Linked DNA regions of Arabidopsis thaliana. The protein of the gene in region 1 interacts with the protein of each later gene in a pairwise test. Each region holds a gene or a part of one and is shown in the gene's direction. Other genes may lie near its edges.

Region 1 (7,158 bases):
TGTCTTAAGGGCGCTTGCGGACAAGGTTGCAGCTTCTGGATTCTATGTTGTGGTTCCTGATTACTTTGGTGGAGATCCTTATAATCCCTCTAACCAGGACAGACCCATCCCTGTCTGGATCAAAGACCATGGCTGTGTTCGTTCCTCCTCCTCTCCTCCTTATAATAACTGTCCTATACATTCTCAACTTCTATTTGAAGTTTTGTTAACAAGTTTGACTCAATGTATGTGTTATTGTTCTGTTATTTTGATAGATTCCATCTGAATCAGTTCATATCCTCTTTTGTTTTTCAGGATAAGGGCTTTGAAAACACGAAACCAGTACTTGAAACCATAAAGAACAAAGGCATAACTGCCATTGGAGCCGCAGGGATGTGTTGGGGTGGTGAGTTTTTGTTAGAAATCTATGCCTAAGAGATGTGACGCTCTCTTTTTGTCTAATGGATAGTACTTTTCTCTCTTGTGTTATTCATCTTCAGCAAAAGTAGTGGTGGAACTGTCTAAAGAAGAGCTTATTCAAGCAGCTGTGTTGCTTCATCCTTCTTTTGTCAATGTTGATGATATCAAAGGTTAGTGACTTTGCTACTTCCATCTTGATTCCTCACATAGAACCAAGGAACATTAGTTGTCATGCCTTGCCTAATGCGTTGTAACATTTAGAGTCACCTATAGGATTGCGTAACTGATCTCGCCATGATTAGATACTATCATTATTACTGTAAAGAATACTAATTCACATTTGCAAACATAAAAAACACTGTGATTGGTCCGGTTTCTTTACTTTCACCGGTCTTTGATGATCCTTATCAATTTCACGGGTTTATTGCAGGTGGGAAGGCTCCAATTGCTATATTAGGAGCTGAAATTGATCAAATGTCCCCACCAGCACTCTTGAAGCAATTTGAGGAGATTCTATCTTCCAAACCCGAGGTAAGCTGCTTTATCACCGCAACTCAACAGTGTAATTTAATCACCTTTATCTAACTTTAAAACGGATCCTGTAGGTGAATAGTTACGTGAAGATACACCCGAAAGTGTCACACGGATGGACAGTTAGATACAACATCGATGAACCAGAGGCGGTTAAAGCAGCAGAAGAAGCTCACAAGGAGATGCTTGATTGGTTTGTGACCTACATCAAATGATTTGAGAAAGAAAGAAAGGTATTGTCTATTACTTCATATATGCAAAGAATAAAAATTAAAGAGAGACAAAGCAAAACTCTTGGTTGGTGTTTCAATTTCTACTTTCTATAGTCTTTTGAAGCATTCTCTGAGATTCTGTGATACCTTTTGTTAATCATTGTTTTATGATTTTTATATGTTGACGATACGTTACCCTTCTCATCATCTTCTTGTGGTAAGCAAAAAAAGTTACCAAAACAAACTTTGATTGAAATCAATGTCTTCTTCGACTAAAGAAGTAAAAAAGATATTGTACATATATACAGAAATAATCAATTCTTCTTCTTCTTGATGAATTTGATAGTCAAAACGCAAAATTATTGATTGTTGAGACTTGAGACCTTGAGTAATTTTTTTTTTTTTGGGTCAAATGAGAGTAATTTATAAGAGTCAAAATCATTACATGAAAATGATTTAAGAGAGTTTGTCCACACACAAAAACCTAAAAAAAAGAAAACTAGTAATTGACAAAATTATACGATAAATTTATTGTATAAGAAATTGATCCATATATTATTTATATTGTTGCTTAAAAATCGTGCAAAAATGTGGACAGAAAAAAAAAACTTGCCAAAACAAGAAGATATTGCTCAAGAAAGTCACTAGGTTCTTTAGAGAAATCAAATAAAATCTCAATTCATAATCAATGTAGATTTCTCATAATTAAATTTGTATTACAAACTTACAATTATCAAAAACAAAATCTGTAATTACACAAAAAAAAAAAAGGAAAATAGAAACAAAAAAAAATCCGCAGAATATCTCCAAAAATCAATTCTACTAACACAAAAACAATAATACTAATAAATCTATTTTTCTATTTTCAAGGAAAAGGAAACAAACCTTTATAGCTCCTCTCTATCGTCTCGTCTCTATAAATAAACGAGAAGCTCACAAATTCCACAAAAATCCACTCTAACTATGAAACAATTAGGGTTTTGAAATTTACCTAAATCTCTCCGTAATCATCGATCAAAACGATGCTCGAGTGTCAATCAATGATGGAGAAATTATCACCGTTCGTAGACGTCGCCTCTCTGGAAATCGAGTCTCTGCGAAGAATCAAACGCCCGAAACGCTTCTCTGAAGAAGAATCAGAAGAAACCGAGAATACGACGAATTCATCAAACGCGGTATTCGGATTCCCTAACTTACCAGAAGAACCGAATCGCGATATGGATCAAAGCGTTTTGTGCAGAATCTGCGTTCGATTACCAGATGGGAGAAGAATACAGAGAAGTTTCTTAAAGAGTGAATCTGTTCAGCTTCTTTGGTCGTTTTGTTATTCGCAGATTGGTGATGAATCTTCTGAGAGAAAGCGGCGTTTTAAATTGATTCAAGGGTTTCCTGGGGATTATAAGAATCTTTATTTTGGATCTAATACTACTTTTGAACAATCTGGGCTTGCTAATTCCTTGGTTTCTGTTACTTGGCTCTGAAGAATCTTCTTTCGATCTGTAATTAGAAAAATAATTTCTTTCTTCTACCAAGTTTATGTTTACTCAATTTCTCGAATTTGTACTTGGAAATTGCAAATTTCATTTGGTTTTCTTGAATCGTTGTTAGATATTTCCGATCAAATCGTTTTTAGATAACACTGTTTCAAAGTCAATGTCGTCATCATCATACAAGAAGAACGTATAGTTTTTGGTTTATCTTTTTGTTGCTTCTTAAGTCACTCTTTCTCGCATAGTTTTTGAGGTGACGAAGTTACGTATACGGTGACGTAGCAAACCAAGCCCATAAGCCCAAATTCTAAACAAGCCTAAGACAAGTGAGCAAGGAGTGGGTAAACCAAACCATACCAAAATGAAACCGACAAACTCGTCGATATGTGCCAGGACCGGGCTTAGAGGGTGTGCTGAGGGTACATTTGTACATTGTCCATTACTTTTTAGTCAGATTTCTTAAAGCAATTAGGGTCCTATTTCTAAACAAGCCTAAGACAGCATCAAGTGAGCAAGGAAGTACTTCATGTTCATGCACAATTTCTAGGAATGGGAAAGACCGTACCAAAATGGAAACCGAGAAACTCGTCGAGACCGGCTTTGATTAGATAGTCTATCGAAGTAAAATATCGAACTTCGATGGACTATATTGAAGTAGATTTGTGCTCTACTGCCCTCGAAAAAAACATTAAAGTAGATTACTACTACGTCATAATAACAAACAGTCTTTAACAACAACATCATCATCACTCGATACATCTCTGCCTCTGTACAGTTTTGCTGACATATTCACAACACCGTTGCCTCAGTTTCAGCCAAGTACACTACTTCTTACTAATCCAGGGGGCCTAATAGCAGGAAACCAAGCCTACAAAGCACAAATCCCAAACACAAATTTTTGAGTATAATATAAGGACTGAGCTAATAAGTTAAAACATTTCTGATTTTTCTGATAGAAAGGAAATTTTACTATTTGGCCCTCTTTGAACACATCCTTCCCTCTCCTCCTCCTCCTTCCCCCAAAAAACCTGGAGAACCATGCAGTTGCAATTTCCTCTTTAACCCATTTCAAAGATTCGTTTTTTTTTTTTTGTAAATCTCTTTCTCCTTTGGCGAATTCGTATTCCTTCTTTTCCAATGTAAGTTCTTCTTCCTTGATAATCGAATTCTTCTTTTGATCTTAAACCAATCACTACTCCGTCGTTGTAATCGTAATTCTCGATTCACCGTTGTTCGGTTATAAGATCATTCATCAGAATCGGATTCCATTATTTCGGTGACCTGGATTTTGATTTTGATTTTGATTCTTGCTGCTATGATCACGATCTTGATATGTAAACTCTCTTCTTCTTTTTTCTGATTCGATGAAATCAGGAGTTCTAGAGACAGAGGATCACCTTCTTCTTCTTCGTCATCTTCTTCGTTACCAGGAATAGAAAAGTATAATGAAAAGGTGAAGAATCAGATACAAGCTCTTGTTCGTGTTATTAAAGTTGCTCGTACCTATAGAGACGACAATGTCCCTTCCCTTATTGAACAGGTTACTACTACTACTAATACTCATAGGTTTTTTCTACCAACCAAATGACCAATGATTCATTATCAAAGATCAAACCTTTTGTTGAATTTGACTTTTTCAGGGTCTTTATCTTGGATCTGTTGCAGCAGCTAGTAATAAGAATGTTTTGAAATCTTACAATGTTACACATATTTTGACTGTTGCTAGTTCGTTGAGACCAGCTCATCCTGATGACTTTGTTTACAAGGTTGTTCGAGGTATAAACTTATTAAAGGTTTCACTTTGTTATCTAGTTGAAGAGAGAATATGTTTTTGATTTTGGGATGGAATTGCTTGTTTGATTGTTTTTCTATGTGATAGTCGTGGATAAGGAAGATACAAATCTAGAAATGTACTTCGATGAGTGTGTTGATTTCATTGATGAAGCCAAGAGACAAGGCGGTAGTGTTCTTGTTCATTGCTTTGTTGGCAAATCACGGAGGTCAGTTTTGTTTGCTTCCTTCAATATCTAGCGGTTTTCGCCTTGTTTGCTGGATAGTATTCAAAACTAAGTACATATTTAGCCTGGATGGTTTGTCCCTTTTACTTGCAGTGTCACTATAGTTGTTGCTTACCTCATGAAGAAACACGGTATGACTTTAGCTCAAGCATTGCAACATGTTAAAAGCAAAAGACCCGTGGCAAGTCCTAATGCTGGTTTCATCAGACAATTACAAGACCTCGAGAAGTCTATGCAAGGTATGCCTTACTATAATATCTTGAGGTCTAGACTATTAGGTTGAGATCTCTGTGGTGAATCTAAGTTGGAGATACTTTGTCTGTCTGATTCAGTAGTGAGTGACCAGTTTTTTTCCTTTTGAGGATGAAAAGCAAGTGGTTGTGGAGGAGAAGACAGTTCCATGTAAATATCTCTTACATGCATCTTCCTTCTTCTCTATAAAACAGGGAAGCAAGTTACGATTGCACAATGTCAGGCGTGAAGATCATTGATCGTACCATTGGGAGAAACTTGTAAATCTCACACGAAGCATCAATCAAAATGTTTTGTTGTTTCTTCTCCTTAACAACTCGAATAATAACATGGAAACGAATTTGGAATATGTTCATGTTCTCTATTCGTTTTGTATAGTTTCATCATCATGGATATAAAAGTGAACATAAATAAAAATTTGTAAATTTTTTGTACCGCAATGAAATGTCTTTTTTGTGTGTAAAAGTTCATGGGCTGTCATTGTTTAATTTGAGCCCGTATAGTTTAAACAGTTCATGGACCTTGTGAAACATTGGGTTTTATAGTCAATAAAAAACTGTGGGGTGATTTAGGACAGACTTATAAGGTTAGGGGTCATATTAGAATTCTCTTAAAGTTGCTTCCAATTGTGAGGAGGCACTAAAACCCTAGACTCCATATCAATCAATCGAAAAACCTTTCTCTCTTCTTTCGGAGCCGTCGCTTGTGAAACTTTCCGGCGATTTAACAGAGTCATGATGGAAATACGAACTCCGAAGACTGGCAAAGCCAAGCGTGTTCTCGAAAGCCGAGCTCCTAAGTTGGTAAAGTTCTCTTCTTTTTCTCCTTCGTCCTTCTTAAAACCGAGAAGTGAATCATGTTGAGAGCTGTCTTCAATGTTGTTTTGACATCTATGAGACTCATGGGTTTTCTATTTGTCGATAAATTTATCAAAGAATCGATTGAAAGTTGCAAACTTTGTATCTGAATTGGTTGTTTTTGGAATTTGTAGGTTGAAACTGGGAAGAAGACGTTGATACTTCATGGAACAAAGACGAGTGCTACACTTAGCTCTGTAATGACGGAACTCTACCGTTTGAAGAAGGGAGGTGCCATCAGATATTCAAGGAGGAATGAGAATATTAGGCCTTTCGAGAGTGGAGGTGAAACTTCATTAGAGTTCTTCTCTCAGAAAACAGATTGTAGCATTTTTGTGGTAAGTTCATAAGCTTTGGCAGCTGTTGCATCTTGGTTTTATGGTGTTGCAACTTTGATTCTCCTCTTAACTTAGCTATGAACTGCTAGATAGAACAAAATGTTATTAAGATGATCTATCCTGTGATCTAGATTCATTCTAAGGCATCTCTGCTTCTGTCTTGTTAGTCTATGTGTATTTATTTATGGTGGAAATTGGTATGATTGGCTGATGTTATCACAGGCCTTAAGAAGTCATTTGGAAAGGTGTATTGGCAAATTAACTTTGATGCGAGTTCTAACATTGGTGATTGTTTTTATATTGCAGTATGGTTCTCACACGAAGAAACGACCTGACAATCTTGTACTTGGGAGAATGTATGATCACCAAGTCTATGATCTTATAGAAGTTGGGATTGAGAACTTTAAATCCTTGCGGGCGTTTTCGTATGACAAGAAATTCGCACCTCATGAAGGAACAAAGCCTTTCATTTGCTTTATTGGTGAAGGTTTTGAGAATGTATCAGAGCTTAAGCATCTCAAAGAAGTCCTCACTGATCTTTTTCGTGGCGAGGTGAAGTGTTTGATTCTTATGACCTACTTTTGCAGCTAATTCCATAACCAGTTTCAATTTTATTCTGATTCTATATGGATTTGGCTTATAACAGAATTTGTATATGTCTGCAGGTTGTGGATAATCTAAATCTTACTGGTTTAGACCGCGCTTACGTATGTTCAGCTATATCCCCAACAAAGGTTTTCCTTACTCATTGCGCATTGAAGCTTAAAAAGTCAGGATCCATTGTTCCGAGAATGGAGCTTGTTGAAGTCGGTCCATCCATGGACTTGGTTATCAGGCGTAATCGTCTTCCTAACGATAGCTTAATGAAAGAAGCAATGAGAACATCCAAGGATAAGCCTAAGAAGAAGGTACTAAACAACATAAAAGTCTAATATTTCTCTTAAAATCGAAAGAGACAGATGACTAATCAATCAATCTCTTCTTCTACAGGAGAAAAACGTTGATCAAGATGCAGTACTAGGGAAGACTGGGAAGATTTATATGCCTGATCAGAAGGTAAG
Region 2 (8,543 bases), on another chromosome or scaffold:
ATCCGCACTGTCACTGAGGGAATTGGAATTATTAAAAAAAACAGACATGGCAGACGAATTATGATTGGCTCCCAACCCCACTCCGTATCCAGTCACGTTGTCAAAATATGGAGTCAACATAGCTGCAATTTGATGTAACAAAAAATGAGGAATATGGAAATTAGCAACAGATAGATTAGTGTCAAACTTTTAAAAAAAAAAATAACCTGACATTTAGTAGATAAGGTGCATACATTTGGAATCGATTATCTTATCATCCTGCTTGGAAACAGTGTCAACGTCACAATTCACAGGATTGAAGGCCATCATATTGCCATCAGGATCAGAGAAACTAGACGATATACTACAACTAGTCATCTCAGATTGAGATACTCCACATGTTTCCACAGGCTGCTCACCCTGACTTAACGAAAACCAATCTTTAAGACTTGCAGAGCAAGTATGAGCAGGTGAAGGACTCAGCCCGGCTTCCATTTTCACATGTTCATCAAATGAACCTGGCACAACAAAAAAAATCCAAGCGATGTTAATACGATGTACCTCAAACAGCTCAATAAATACTAAATGACTATGTAACAAGGCACCCTTTCCAACAACTACTAACCATTTAGCAACTGTGAATCCTTGAGCTCGTCAGCAGATGAACCAACTGGTGATAAGTTTTCTTGGCTACCCTAAAAGTAGTCACTCTCAATGTTAGTTTCTTCTCTATCGAAAAAAATAGTCAATTAGAGATTAGTGTAGCTACAGAATTGTGAAATCACACATACATAAACTTTATAACAAAATACAAATCCAAACATCTTTGTAGCAGCATTCAAATAATGCAATGAAATTCAGCTAAATCAAAACGATGAAATTGAAGTTAGAGAAGCGTGTAATCAAAATTCTCAAGCTACCACAAAAGCCGAGAAAACTACCTCAGCAGAATCAGGCTTCTCATCTAGAATCCGATAAAGCGTTTCGATGTCAATAGTCTCGTCATCATCTTCAAACTCAAAACCACCATCACAATCATCAACCGGAAATTCACCTCCCAGACCAAACATTGAACCTTCCTCACCCATCAAAAATCACAAAAAAAAAAAAAAAAAACTAACCCGAGAAAGAACGAGAAGAGGAACAAACCCTAAATCAGAAAACCCAAAAGTCACGGAATTTCAGCTCCCGGGAAACCCAAATCGAAATTCAGAAGTAGACGCGTAGATCCAGAGATTGTAGAATTTTCAGGTACGACGAAGAAGAAGGCTTGAGAATTGGGTTTTGAAGGAATTTTCGAGGAAAGGTAGAGAGCAGTTGGGATAGAGAAAATAAAAATCGCGACTTTTTGTAGCGACGGTGGCTTCTTTTTATTGCCTTGTTCTCTCTTTTGGCTTTCTCCGAATTGGAAAAAGTAAACACCACAAGGCTATGGGACTTCCGGCTTTAAATAAGGAACGGTCGAACATTTGTTTTTCTTTTTCTTTCATTTTTTTCCATTTTTTCATTATTTAATAATGCATGATTATATATAATTATATTTTATGCGCCGTCATCTTTATTGTTAAAGCAAAATCACAATTTAAACAAAAGGAAACAACTTTAATTAGTAGTAGGAAACTGAAGTGTTTAAGTAATGGAGATTTTTTTGAAGTGTTTGCTAATCATAATTTATTGTAAAAATTATTTTTAATTGTGTGAAAATTAGATTTTCTACACTAACAAAAAAATTTCATATGTTAAAGAAAACAAATATGAAACTAAATCACAAAGATCAATTGGAATTAGACATGTGGATCGACTCATTAGAAAAATAATCATCTCAATCAATAAGAAGAGATAAAACATATATTTGACTAAATGATCTTACCAATCTTGTGGTCATAAAATTCTACAAAGCACTATATTGCTAATTTCTACAAAGCACATTTGTAATCTTCTGAATCATTTGTTAGCCCTAAAAGAAGACTAGTATTATACGAGATCACCATTTTTATGATTGATCAAATATCTTGTAGAGCGCAAAACTTTGTAGGTAGTTTGATGAGAAAGAGCTTGCTTATTATGTGATCAACAATTCCGTTCTTGCCATGTCTCAAAGTAGTTGCTTGCCATATTAATTGATATGAAGAGCCTTTGATTTTGCAGAGATAGGAATTGCCAAAAGAAACCATATGAGGATTGACTCGAGAAGTTTTAGTGTAACTTCTTCACTAAGTCCTTCCAAACCAGTTGGGAAAAATAATATTAAAGAATAAGTGGTCCATTGATTCTTAGTCGGTCAACTAGCTAGAAGACCTCAAATTCTGCAATCGATCCTTTGTCTTATTGTGGTTCCACACAAACAACCATGTGCAAAGAACAAAACATGTTTTGGGACTTTAGTTTGAAGATGCAATTAAACATATTGTTAGATTGTTGACCAAGAAAAAACATATTGTTGAGATTGAAAGATATATTTTGCATCGGACTGCAAAATGTTTATGTCACATATTTGTTACCTAATAGTTGATTTTAATAGAGTATAATAGAGTATCAGTTATTGGTTTTAAATTGTGTATCAAATTCCAAATAATATAGAGATTTTTAACATCAGTCTTATTTAATTATGATTTTAACCAAGTGTCGTTAGCTCAATTGGTAAAGACCTTATGCAAAGCTTAGAGGTCGCCGGTTCGAGTGACGCTTGGGACGAAACTAATATTTTATGCTGTGGTTTCAGGCCTGGGGGATTACGGACTTTGACCCACAACCTCCAAGATTTAAAAAAAAAAATAAAAAAAAATTATGATTTTAAATCGAAATTTTGTTCTTCAAAGGTAAAATAGTTTAAAAATCTTTGGGTATTAAAATCATTTGGAAATGAGTTACATAATACTATCCGGTATATAAAGAACCAAATCCAAAAACAAACCGGTTCCCTTAATAATTTAAACCGGATTATTCATCGACGGTTCGTCAACATCCTAATAATTTAAACCCGATCTCTTCTTCTCTATCGAAAACCTCCAACTTTTTTTTGTTTTATCAGATTGTAAATTTAGGGAAGAGACTTTCGCAAGCAATCTAGAAGCAAATCGATCGCCAAATCTCCGGATTATTTGCAAGAATCGTTCCCAGATAATCTTCCCCAGATTCTCCACTTCTCCAGGTACATCGTTATATTCAATTTTTGAGGAAAATAGTCGCACACTCTCTCTTTCTTAGAACTACCACTCCTGTGCTGTTTTGAGATTAAAGCTTGAATTTTGACTAAAGCCCTAAATTACTTTGTATCACTATCTGATCACAAAGTCAATTTCTTTTGGAAATAGCTCTGATCGGAGTGTTGCTCGAACAGGTATTAATTTCGTATTGAGTGGATTAGATTAGATTTCAAGATATGAGAGCCTCACTGGCGTTCTAATGTCACTGTTTCGTATTTTTATCAATCAGCTTGAAGAAGACGACGAAGATATGGTAATTTTGACTCCTCTTATGAGTCTGTTCTTTGTGTTATTTGATACAACTTGATGATGGGTTTTTGGAAAACTTTAATCTTTATGCACGTTGTGTGACCTAGTTTTAATCGTGGCTTGTCGCAGGCTACTTCGAAGAAAATGATCACACGTGAAGAATGGGAGAAGAAACTAAATGCTGTGAAGCTTAGGAAAGAAGATATGAATACTTTGGTGATGAATTTTCTTGTGACTGAAGGATATGTTGAAGCTGCTGAGAAATTCCAAAGGGAGTCTGGAACCAAACGTATCCTTTTTCTGATTCTGGTTTTGAGTTTTTGTTTATGGAATTGGTGTGTTTGATGTTTAGCTTATCTACTCCTTTTGAACTTCCTTATCGAGAAACAGCAGAGATAGATCTTGCGACCATTACTGATCGAATGGCTGTTAAAAAGGCTGTTCAAAACGGAAATGTCGAGGATGCGATTGAAAAAGTTAATGATTTGAATCCTGAGGTACAATGCTTCTTCATATCTTGTGTGGAGAGTAGTCATTCACTTTTCTGATGTAATAAAGAAGCAAAATCTGATTCTTCTTTGAACCCATGCTTGCAGATACTAGACACGAATCCGGAGCTCTTTTTTCATCTTCAGCAGCAAAGGTTGATAGAATTAATTCGACAAGGGAAGACAGAAGAGGCCTTAGAGTTTGCTCAGGAGGAACTTGCACCACGTGGCGAAGAAAACGTAAGTCTTTGTATTTCACTTTGATTTCTGTCGTTAAAGATGGTGTTTTCCATGTGTATTGCTCATTGACTGTGTGTAATATCTGTTGTTGCTGAAACTTCATTCATACAGTCTGTTATATCTCTCTGCAGCAAGCGTTTCTGGAAGAATTGGAAAAAACTGTAGCCCTACTTGTTTTTGACGATGCCTCTACCTGCCCGGTTAAAGAGCTTCTTGATCTTTCCCACCGTCTTAAGACAGCAAGTGAAGTAAATGCAGCGATTCTTACAAGCCAGAGCCACGAAAAAGGTAGCTTTTGAATTTTGATGTTATACTGGTTGTCTTTTAGTAGCCACAAAATACCATTATAATCTCGAGCATCATTCATTATCAATCTTAAGATTCAAAGTATATGCAACTCTTCTCTACATAACAAGTAAAATTTTTCATTCATTACTTCACCCACAACATGTATCATCCAAGTTCTTCTTGAAACTTTCCATTTTCCTCCATGGTTAATGTAGCAACTCAATGTTTGTGAACAAACAGATCCTAAACTTCCAAGCTTGTTGAAGATGTTGATTTGGGCTCAAACTCAACTGGACGAGAAAGCAGTGTATCCGCACATTAATGATTTGTCTACCGGTAAGCTCGAAGACCCGTCAGAATGATTCCGTACTTCTTTCAGCCATTGGAAATCAGTAGCAAAAAGGAACAATGAATGGTGCTCTCTTCTCTTCCCGTCAATCTCAATAACTTACAATTCATATGCTTTCTGCTTTTCCTTTTCTTCTGCATCGGGATTTGTTGGACCCGCAATCGTTAGGATATGGGGAGGGGAACATAAGCTTTTGTAGGCAATGAATTACTCTAGTCAAATGTTCTTATTATCAACATATTTGATGACTCATTGCATACGTGCATTTGATTTGAATGAAGTTATCGACTTTGTTTGGATCTTTGTGTTTGTTTTGAGGAATATTTTTGTTCCAAAAGGTTCGAATTGTAAACAAGAGAGATGGCTTATTCATCCCATGTATAGTTACATGAATCAATGAATCAACTTGGCACGGTTCCTACTTACCTAGAAAGCAACATGACCTATTGAATTGAGTGCTGTTACCGTCGAAATGGAGAATCTCTGCGAACCGTACTGAAACATCATTTGATTTTTCTTCTTCTTCGCAAAATATTATTTTGGTACTGACACAGCTTTGAATCTTGCATGACATGGTACGAAGTAAATAAAGGGAAGTAGTAATAGCAACTTTTTGATATATAAAATAGGAAACATAATCCACAAGACTCAAGACCTTATGTTGACTCTAGCCATCTCAATCTTGCATGATATGGTCTTCCGGATCATAGGATTTGGAGGGTTTGCTCTCCACCTCATCTTCGGATGCGGGTCGGCCCAAATTGCTTTGTCCGCAGTCAACATCTGCAAACTCCTCAGACACGAGCGGCACCTTTTCCTTGATGCTTCTAAGTTTGGCCTCTACCTTCTCAGCTTCATCAACTACATCTGACACATAATTAAGGATCCATCCGCAGTTCGCTGCACATACCCCTTCCTGCAACTCCTCGCGTAGCCCTTCCTGGAACAGACACGCCAGCTGCTCTTCCTCCAACTCTCTTCCGAGGTTCTTGACCTTCTTAAGGAACTCGTTATAATACTCACGCACTGTCTCTGTTCCTTGCTTCACCTCAAAGGCTTCCCAGCTCAAGGCAATGTTGACGTCAACCAGCTTAGACTCATCGAAGGCTCCGCGCTCAGAAGCTTCTCGGGGTGGCTGATCCTCCTCCCCAACTACCCCTGTGAGCTCAAAGTTTTTTGGTTCACCAGATGTCTTGATCGACCTGGTCTGCCTGCGGGTCAATAATTCATCGAGTTTTATACATTTAATAATTTGTTACAAAATATGAAAACAAGGATAGTTTTCAGTTAGAAAAACAATTTATTATCTTAGAAAATCATGACTATGCTAAATCTAATATATTTAAATAAAAAACTTTACATCAAAATTCTAACAAATTATCAAATATTATGGATTTGAGGGAGTATAAATTATCATTATAATTCAACAAAATTAAAACTGAATTTTGCGAAAACATAATTTATATGAAACTCGAGTATAAAAATGATGACTCGAAATGGATCAAATAGAATAAAGCAATCGTAATGTCGAATAGTGGAAAAGAGATTTATATCTTATTTTATTTTGTCTGAAAAAGATCTATCTTCACCTATTTTTATTGAACTTTAAATATTTTAAGCAAAAATAAAATTGATTCAATTTGATATAAAATGAGCAAAGACCTTTTGATCATGATCCTTTACAAGATTTTCATTTCATGCTTTATCATTACAGAAAAAAAAAATCTAACAAACTAATCTGAAAGCTAAAAGATTGAAAATAATATAGTTTCTTAATATATTTTATCAAAATCATTAATAGATATTGTGAAATAGATAATAGAAAATTGAGAATATCTAAGGAACTTACAAATTGATATTACTTCTTCCATTAGTCATTGTGGAGAATGAAGAAATAAAAAAAATGGGAAATGAAGCTCTTAAAGTGAGTCTAACCAAATGATGTACTTTTATTAACTCCCAAAATGGGATATCATTGATTTATGTTCTATAAATAAAAAATTAACCTGATTCATTTTTCTTATATAATAATTGATTAAGACATACGCTGGCAAAATTTTTTTTTTTTATGTCCGCTCGCAAATCAAAAAAATATGGAAATACAATAAATTTTAATTATAATAAATTAGCTTTTATTTTCTTTTCATAATTTCTAATAAATATCTCATATACCCAATTTACAGTATCGTATTTTGTATTAAATAAGTTTGAGTTAAAATTGAATCATTATGAAAATCTAATTAGAATATATATATATATATATATATATATATATATATATGTGTGTGTGTGTGTATGTATAGTACTGGTACATAATATTAATGTTTTGTAACAATTTCGGTTTCTAGTTTCTAAAATATGGTAAATTATCAAAATCGATTAATTATGATATTTTCACAATTATATTTTTCTAATATTGTAAATTTGTTCCCAAATTTTTTTTTTTTTAAAGTCCCAAAGATAGAAAGTTATTATTATAATTCCAAATTTAAAATAAATTTTAAATTTAATATGGAGATTGACTCTTGTAGTCTTTTGACTTGTTCATTAATATGTTCCCGAAATAGTTTTATATGGTATACAAAATTAAATAATTGTATAAAAGGTAAATCTAAATTTAAGTTACGTCAGATTTGATCTTTTATGTGATAGAGATGTGTTCCAAATAGTTCTTTTAATTGATTTGAACACTTTCTTTGGTACCAAAACAAGAAACATCATAGGGTTTGCGTACTCATTGGTATTAATGAAACTGACCCACACACATGTTTTTGGATCATCACTAATTTAACTGTCTCATAAGCTTTGTCACACACACACACACAGAGACTTATATAGTGATGCATTCATTGATATCATTCGGCATCATACCTGTTCTTTCATTCCATAAAGATAAAAAAAGGTAAAAGAGAAATGTGATTTTGTATTTGAGATTGATTTGTATGTAAGTATTTATGAGTGAGAGAAAATAGTGGATTCTATGCGTGTGGAGATAGTAGAAGAGGTCTCTACTCTACTATGTGTGCTTGCATTTCCTAGGAACACAAAATGGCCCACTGGCTCTGTCCCTTTGTTTCATAGAGACTAGAGAGTGTCCTCTTCTTTTTCACGTTATTGAGAATGATATAGTTTCATAGAGACTGAAGATTCCCTTTTGTTTCTCAACTCTTCGAGTTTTGATACTAAGCAAGCTTAACTGAATAAGGTGATTTGGATTTGATAATATCGGCTACGGTCACAAACTCCGAATAAATCTTGATCGACTTGCTTGAGAGAGGATTGATTCTTGGAATGGCAAATCTCACACAAATATATGAACTTGAAAATGGGTTTTGTTTGGCCAAAAAAAAAGGAAAAAAAGAAAATGGGTTTTGTTGGATGTGAGATAATTATCCCATTGTCTTGAATCTTGATTATCAATTGGAAATGGAAATGATTTTGTTTTTGGTTAGGAATTAATAGTCATTTGGGGGTTAGAAATTAATTGGCATGTGACATATACACAAAGAACCTACCATGTGAACATAACTAGAATCATTCAAACATGGGAGGACCCATACAATGTAAATCTTCAAGTCCTATCTTTTAATTTAAGAGGTTTATATCAACTTCATTTTTGTGTGACTTTGTGCTAACATCAAATTCTGTTTTGGGGAACATAACACAGATAAGGGTTTAGATATGTTCTTGTCTTCTCAATAAAACTGTTTGGATATCAATTGCTTTGATTGGAAACTGATTTTG
Region 3 (6,742 bases), on another chromosome or scaffold:
TAGTATGTCTCTATGATTAGTACCAAATGGTACAAAGTCCGACATACGTATCACTTGGTCGCACGAGCACAATATTCGTATCTCTTTTGTAGGTTTTATGTTACCAAAGTGCTGAGATTTGTTACTCCTCTATCATATATAGCAAACCATTAGTAAATATAATTATGACTTTTATCAAATTTATATTTTCTTTTAGTTTTTATGTAGGTTTTCTTCTTAAATCAACAATCATTTAAAACAAGATTGTTTGTAAGTGATTTTTTAAAAAATCACAGAACCAAATAAATCATAGGGGATATTCCAGTGAATCGGGATGATGTCGTCTAAAGTTTAGTGGGTTCGGAAAGCATCGATCTATTCTACGAACAAGTGAACCCTGCCCGAAAAGCTTTAGGTCAATTACTATGTCTTGAAAGAAAAATAAACATCAATACAATCTCATGTTTCGAAGCTTGAAAAAGGTAGCATTTTTCTCATAAAACCTTGGACACTTCCACGAAACAAAATGCATTTATCTTGAGTTCTCTAGCTACTAATGATAATGCAAATAAATACTGAAGCTAAACAAAATGTAAACAAATTCTAAGCACAATATTGACCATTTATCAAATCTACCAACTTAAAAGTTAGTAAATATCAACATCAAAAATATTTGAGGTAAATTTCTTAAAATACTTTATTTAGTAATGGATAAAAAACAAAAAAAGTTTAAATCACCGTGGAAGTTGTTGAGAAGTTACTTCTAAGATTTCTTACAACTGTGCTTGGCATTTATTATTTCTTACACAGTTAAAACTCAAGTAGAATAATTATACTAATGTCGGTCTTTAGCAAGGGGATAAAAGAGGCATGTCCAAGATGTTCATGTATTATAATTTCGGTTTTCGTTGAATTGTTGAAATTGTGAACAGTTTCATAAAACCAAGTAAGAGTATTCAAATAACTTTTTGTTAATCAACTGTATAAATAGGGAGCAAATTTAAAAGGATAATATGGCAAAAATGTCGTATTTGAACATAAAATTAAAAAGATGTAGGAACACTGTAGAGTATTCCAAATATTGCATGTTATAAACTTTATTTTTAGACATCTTCATTTGCAAACACGTTACAAGTTGAATAGTCTATCATGAACACTGTAGAGTATTCAAAGTACTGTAAATGAAAAAATGTAATTTATATATAGTCTAATGTATTTAAAAATTTAAACCATAGAGAGGAATATACTGTACTTTTGTAAATTTGGTCCCCTAACTAAAGATCTAGTAGTAGAAGATGGAAATCCACAGTTAATATATGCGTGATTCAACGGTGCCCTCTTTAATTCCTCACATGAGTTTTGCACACAATCTTTCTCTCTCTTTTTCTTATTCTATGTTCCCATATTTATCCCACAAACGTTGATCCAATATCTTACGCAAATTAAGGCAAAACAGGAAATTTTTGCAAAAGAGAAAGATATGGAGGTGTTGGGTAAATAAAGTTGAAAATGTACGAAAATAATGATGCATTTATTTCACAACAATGGGTTTCAACATCAGATTGCTTCTGTTTAAATCTTTTACTACTTTCAGTTTTATATCTCTGATAAACTCTATAATATTGACTGATTCCTAAAGGACACTGTCTCAGGATCTATCCCCTACATTCTTGTTCTACCTTGATGGATCATATATTTTACCTTAGTAAAGAAAATCGTCCAAGAAATTCATCATTAATTAAAAACATACATATAACATAGTCCTTCTTCGAATATAAGACTTCAATTCCTCAAAAAAAATTAAACGAAATAAATTATTTTTAAATATATATTCAAGAAACTGATGTTCATCGAGTTTAATTATTCAGTTGAATTACAATTCTTACTTTTAGAAATTTGTATTGCGACCAAGAAGAAACATTCTTTAAGCTCAAAGCTTCATATAATTTACACATACGTAATTTATAGATAACACGTTGACCGAGAGTATTAGAAGCTCACAGTGCTTATAGGAAAGTCAAAACTGACTGCATCAGTACGATTTTTACGTGTTCGTTTATGGATTATATAATACAAAATAGCTTATACATCAGTTTTAAAAAAATTAAACAAATTAATTAAGATGTAAAACACTATTAAAGTCGTAAAGAGAGAGTAATTAAAAATGAGAAGAAGATTTGACAAGACGAGCCAATAGACAAGAATGTAGTACCGTCAATCAACCTTTATAAAGTAGTAGTAGTATATAAAATTACTAAATGTTTATTGGGATTTGTTTTTCTGCAACATTTTCTTGTAAGCAATCGTTTTTAATGCTTTGTGTTCTGCACAGTGCTTTGTCATTGGCTCGGGACTAACATTTTTTCTAGTATTATTTTATTTTATTTTAATTAAAATATTTAATTTTTCTTGTCTTCAACCAAATTGAATGCTACTGCTGTGTCTTACTATACTTGTTCATGAGTATAATATTATCATCTTAAATTTAGATAACAAAGACAAAATAAAAATTCAAATTCCCATAGAGCCATTATATCGTGTTTGCATGAAACTTTTGTTAGTTAAAAAATACAAATTCAACCTCTCCAACAAGGCAATAACAACCCATGGAGCTAATAATATGTAAACTGCATGAGGATAAGTGTTTTCGTCACACAAGAAGATTGTCAATTTTTCAAAACAGCAAAATATTTGTAAAAAACATAATTCTTCCACTCATGTGTATATCAATAAAATCACAACGACAAAAACATTATTGTAAAATGTAGCAATAAACTATTTGTAAAAATAATATATCTCCATTATAAAAACATTTTTGTAAAATTGATCAATTATTAGATCGAATAGTGTAGAAAAAACCAATATTAAAAATTTGGATTGTAGCAAATCAAATATTGGAAAAAACTATTGAAATCCCGGTTGAACAGAAAACGAATCGAAAAAGCTAACCACAAAGCAAAACAAAAACAAACTATCAACTTCAATCATCGTAATTTTTATAGTTAAGACTTTAGACTAAATAAGTAAAAGCACTTCAAATAACTAACCAGAAAAAAATGGAAAATTAACAACAAATAGAAAAATATCCCAAAATTAAATAGACACATGACCTGACCCCACCAGCTCTCTCTTCTCTCCCCATATATCGCATTCCCTCCAACTCCTTCCTCTTCCATTAATTACTAAACCCAAACCCAACCAAAGATCTTCACAAAGAAAAAAACAATTGGTGGTATCAATGGGGAAGAAGAAGATGAAACTCTCTTCTCTGTTCAAAGGCGGAGCCGGAGGATTACTAGCGGTTCCTCTCTGTTACAATGCCAAAACTCTTTCGTTCCGAGTCGGCGACGACATGATCAAGACGGTGAACTCTGTTTTCTTCGACCACCACCACAACAACAACAATGGAGGAGATTTGTTGGAAGCGGAGACGCCTGAGTCATGGTTTACTAACTCGTCCGAGACAGCGAGTCACTCAACCGAGTCGGATCAAGACCTTGACGCTGAGTCCTTAGAGATGGTGGTTCGTGGCGTTGTTAGATCGGAGCGGTTATTCTTCGATCCAGGAGTTACGAGTTCGATTCTGGAAGAGATTGAAGAGAAATCGAAATCGGATTTGAAATCGAAGGAAACGGTTGCGGTGGGAGAAGATCGGAGTACGCCGATTGAGGAGATTAGTGTCGCGGTGGCGATGGAATCCGAGGATCCGTACGGTGATTTCCGGCGATCGATGGAGGAGATGGTGACGAGTCACGGTGAGTTGGCTAAAGATTGGGAGAGCTTGGAATCGATGCTCGCTTGGTATTTGAGGATGAATGGGAGGAAGAGTCACGGCGTTATCGTCAGTGCTTTTGTTGATCTTCTCTCTGGACTCTCTGATTCCGGCGCCGGAATAACGTCGGCTTCGGTATCGGATTCGGCTCGTTATTCAACCGCCGTTTCGTCTTTGCCGTCGTCGCCGGTTTATTCGTTATCTCAAGGTCAGACGGAGATTCAAGAGGAAGAGAGACGGAGCTGTTAAAAATAAAAAAAGGCTTAAGATTCGGTTTTAAATTTTTTAATCTCCGGTTTTGTTTAGATTAATTAACCCTTTTTGGATTTTGTAAAAAGTAATTAGTGGTTAGAGGAAAAAGAACCATTAAATATATATCAAAAATATTTTTAGAGCCATTATTGTTGATTTATGTGTATAACAGTGCCTTTTGTCATAACTCGAAAGTTACACTATTTTTCCCCCAAAATTCATGAAACTCAGCGAAGTTTATGCCAACAGATTCAGAGAAATTTTGTATAACAGCCCCATTTTAAAAGGAAATATACATAAGAATAAATTCTGTGATACTTCTTTTTATTTAAGCTCTTTATTTTTTACTTCTTTTTTAGGTTTTAAAGGACATAGAATTATAATTTCTCATTTTTTTTGCAGGCATATTATATAGCCTTTCTCATTAGATGTAGGCATGTAGCTCCTTTGGCATCCATATTAAAAATTTTTTTGTCACAAATATTGGACCTTACATTTTTTTTCCCCAAATAAAATTTGGTATTACGAATTTTCGATGGTTACACAAGGACTACTACACTAACATAAACTGTAAGACTCATTAAATATCATGCTCGGATAATTCATGTATTAACATTAATAACATAGAGATTTTATTTATTGATTTGACTCTTAAAAGCATCATCACGTAAGATATTTAGCAAAACCCTTTTTGTGATATCCATGCTGGAGTTAAAATCTTGAAAATAAGCGTAATAGAAACACCCGTAGTGTATGTATAAATGTAATTGTCATGAACTTATGAGATTCAAGTTTTAAAAATACAGAAAAGGATAGTGTATTTACGAGGGTGCATTAAAAGAGAATGTTGGTCTATAGTAACGTTTGAATTGAAATGTTACAAAAGAGATTTGTAATTTGTATTTTGTATTGTGAAGTGAATGGAGTAACATGAGATGAGCAATGGTGCTGTGGTCAGTGGTCACACACACACAGGCCCTGTGAATCCCAACATCATAGACCTACTCACTTCTCTCTTATCTCTTTTCATTTATTACTCTACATTTAATTTTGGGACCAACCTAGACGACGACGTTTATTTGTTTTTGTTTTGTTTGTTTTGTTTTGTTTCCTTTCTTTTCATAATTTTAGAGCTATGCATGTTCTCATTCCTCCTCAATTTCACAAAATTGATTTTTCTATAGGAAACACATATAACATAGGGCTGGTCCTCAAATATATACGAGATAGTATACAATTTGGAGTTTTTCAAGAGTACAGAAAAACTATAGCCAAATATTTGTAACAAATAAAAACACAGAACTGTGTCTGTCACAAACATAGCGTCTAACAGTTACTTTTACACAGCTTGTTTTCTTTGTTTCTACGGTACTTACAAAAACCAGAGTCATTTTTCGTCTTCTACAAGTATATAACAGGGGCCCAAACACAGTACATGCACAAAATCTAATATCTAAATACATTACGTCAAGCACGAGACCAAAAGTAAATGGATACTTTAGATTTGACAGTGAAGGCCCATTTGAGGGAGGTTCTTCGATCCGGCCCCACGTCGGTTTATTTTGATTTAGGATAATTCAAACCCAAAAGCTAACCAAAATCAGTATGGTTCAAGTTTGTTCAACTACAAGAATTTTCCATTCAAATTCAGTTATTGACTGTATCGTACCAGACTAAAAACCAACAGACGATTAACATACTGTATTACATATTTTTAAACTAAATTCGAAACCAAATCGATTAAAGGAGTTTCTTAAATTCAAGTAGTGTTTTGAAGAAACTGAACACTATAACATGATGTGTGTTTTGTATTTTCCATTTGTTCATTGGGAGTCAGGATCTTTACCAAAACCCATCATGGCATGAGTCGCTAGCATCAAGCCTCTTCGACCCATCTCCATTACCCGTCCGACTAATGGAAAGCTAACCGTGTCTCTGTTCCTCAGAGGTTTCTTGTCCCACCTTATACACACCATTCACCAACAAGTTAAGGCAATGAACTAATACAAAAAGTCAGCGTTTATGAGAAAGGTTAGCTGCAGGGTTATTACCAGTCTTCATGTCGAACGATCTTCCCGTCCTCGACATAGAGCTTAATGAGAGAGATCATATCTATGTTCCTTCCCATGATCTTGTAGTGTTGTTTGTTGTCAATTAGTATCTGTTTTTCCCACAAGTTGTTTATGTTATATTTAGATACTAAAAAGGAACCACGAGACCATGTTATAGTAAACGAGGATTCTAACCTCTTTCTTCCCCGGCGAGGTTTCACTTTCTTGAATATGATATTCAACTATTTTCGACTCACCAAACACCTATAGTAAAATAATTATGATGTGAGGTTGAGGGAGATAGTTCCATCATCATAGTAGTTAACAAAGAAGTGACTAGTGAGGGAACGAGAGTTTGACAAAAACCTTAGGGAGTGAATAAAATGCTGATTTGATCTGCTTCACTCTGAAAAAGCCAAGGGTCAAAAATAGAAATTTCAAAGTGAGTAAATGATCTCTGCAATAGTAGAAAGAAAGAATATTTAGTTGGAAGATTGACATACCCCTGAGCATGCGTCAAAGGGTCTTCAAATGAAGCATTTGGTGCATACATGTCAAAATCGTTGGCTTTTGCACTAGACCCGTACCTAATTCAAAATCAAAACTCGCATTAGATATTTAGTAACTTGATGCTTTTGTAATTCAACAAAAAGCCATGAAAAGACTTATCACAATCACAATCTACAAA

What was found. The genes of interacting proteins can lie anywhere in the genome.
Region 2: the proteins of DSPTP1 (region 1) and AT1G61150 interact in binary tests that used the Arabidopsis thaliana proteins (3 or more experiments, as listed by UniProt).
Region 3: the proteins of DSPTP1 (region 1) and OFP13 interact in binary tests that used the Arabidopsis thaliana proteins (3 or more experiments, as listed by UniProt).

Annotation. Positions count from the first base shown.
Region 1 is NC_003074.8:8,474,511-8,481,668, forward strand, and holds DSPTP1 (dual specificity protein phosphatase 1), read left to right. Parts: upstream 1-3,611; 5' UTR 3,612-3,769; coding exon 3,770-3,771; intron 3,772-4,006; coding exon 4,007-4,172; intron 4,173-4,272; coding exon 4,273-4,408; intron 4,409-4,511; coding exon 4,512-4,632; coding exon of another isoform or gene 4,633-4,663; exon of another isoform or gene 4,664-4,743; coding exon 4,744-4,889; coding exon of another isoform or gene 4,890-4,933; exon of another isoform or gene 4,934-4,982; coding exon of another isoform or gene 4,983-5,011; exon of another isoform or gene 5,012-5,025; coding exon 5,026-5,141; 3' UTR 5,142-5,331; downstream 5,332-7,158. Other genes in the region: AT3G23600 (alpha/beta-Hydrolases superfamily protein), read left to right, coding at 10-136, 295-385, 480-569, 830-930, 1,005-1,145; AT3G23605 (Ubiquitin-like superfamily protein), read left to right, coding at 2,165-2,623; AT3G23620 (Ribosomal RNA processing Brix domain protein), read left to right, coding at 5,637-5,705, 5,894-6,097, 6,404-6,649, 6,763-7,005, 7,088-7,153. UniProt on the Arabidopsis thaliana protein: Has a dual specificity toward Ser/Thr and Tyr-containing proteins. Dephosphorylates MPK4 in vitro.
Region 2 is NC_003070.9:22,539,544-22,548,086, forward strand, and holds AT1G61150 (LisH and RanBPM domains containing protein), read left to right. Parts: upstream 1-2,953; 5' UTR 2,954-3,130; exon of another isoform or gene 3,131-3,319; 5' UTR 3,320-3,384; coding exon 3,385-3,438; intron 3,439-3,563; coding exon 3,564-3,723; exon of another isoform or gene 3,724-3,760; coding exon of another isoform or gene 3,761-3,824; coding exon 3,825-3,931; intron 3,932-4,030; coding exon 4,031-4,162; intron 4,163-4,293; coding exon 4,294-4,450; intron 4,451-4,690; coding exon 4,691-4,812; 3' UTR 4,813-5,475; coding exon of another isoform or gene 5,476-6,010; 3' UTR 6,011-6,118; downstream 6,119-8,543. Other genes in the region: EDA16 (SNF2 domain-containing protein / helicase domain-containing protein / zinc finger protein-like protein), read right to left, coding at 1-122, 234-497, 605-674, 921-1,067; AT1G61160 (retrotransposon gag), read right to left, coding at 5,476-6,010, 6,649-6,677.
Region 3 is NC_003076.8:1,396,468-1,403,209, forward strand, and holds OFP13 (ovate family protein 13), read left to right. Parts: upstream 1-2,927; 5' UTR 2,928-3,217; coding exon 3,218-4,000; 3' UTR 4,001-4,317; downstream 4,318-6,742. Other genes in the region: AT5G04830 (Nuclear transport factor 2 (NTF2) family protein), read right to left, coding at 5,827-5,965, 6,055-6,164, 6,250-6,318, 6,421-6,460, 6,558-6,641. UniProt on the Arabidopsis thaliana protein: Transcriptional repressor that regulates multiple aspects of plant growth and development through the regulation of BEL1-LIKE (BLH) and KNOX TALE (KNAT) homeodomain transcription factors.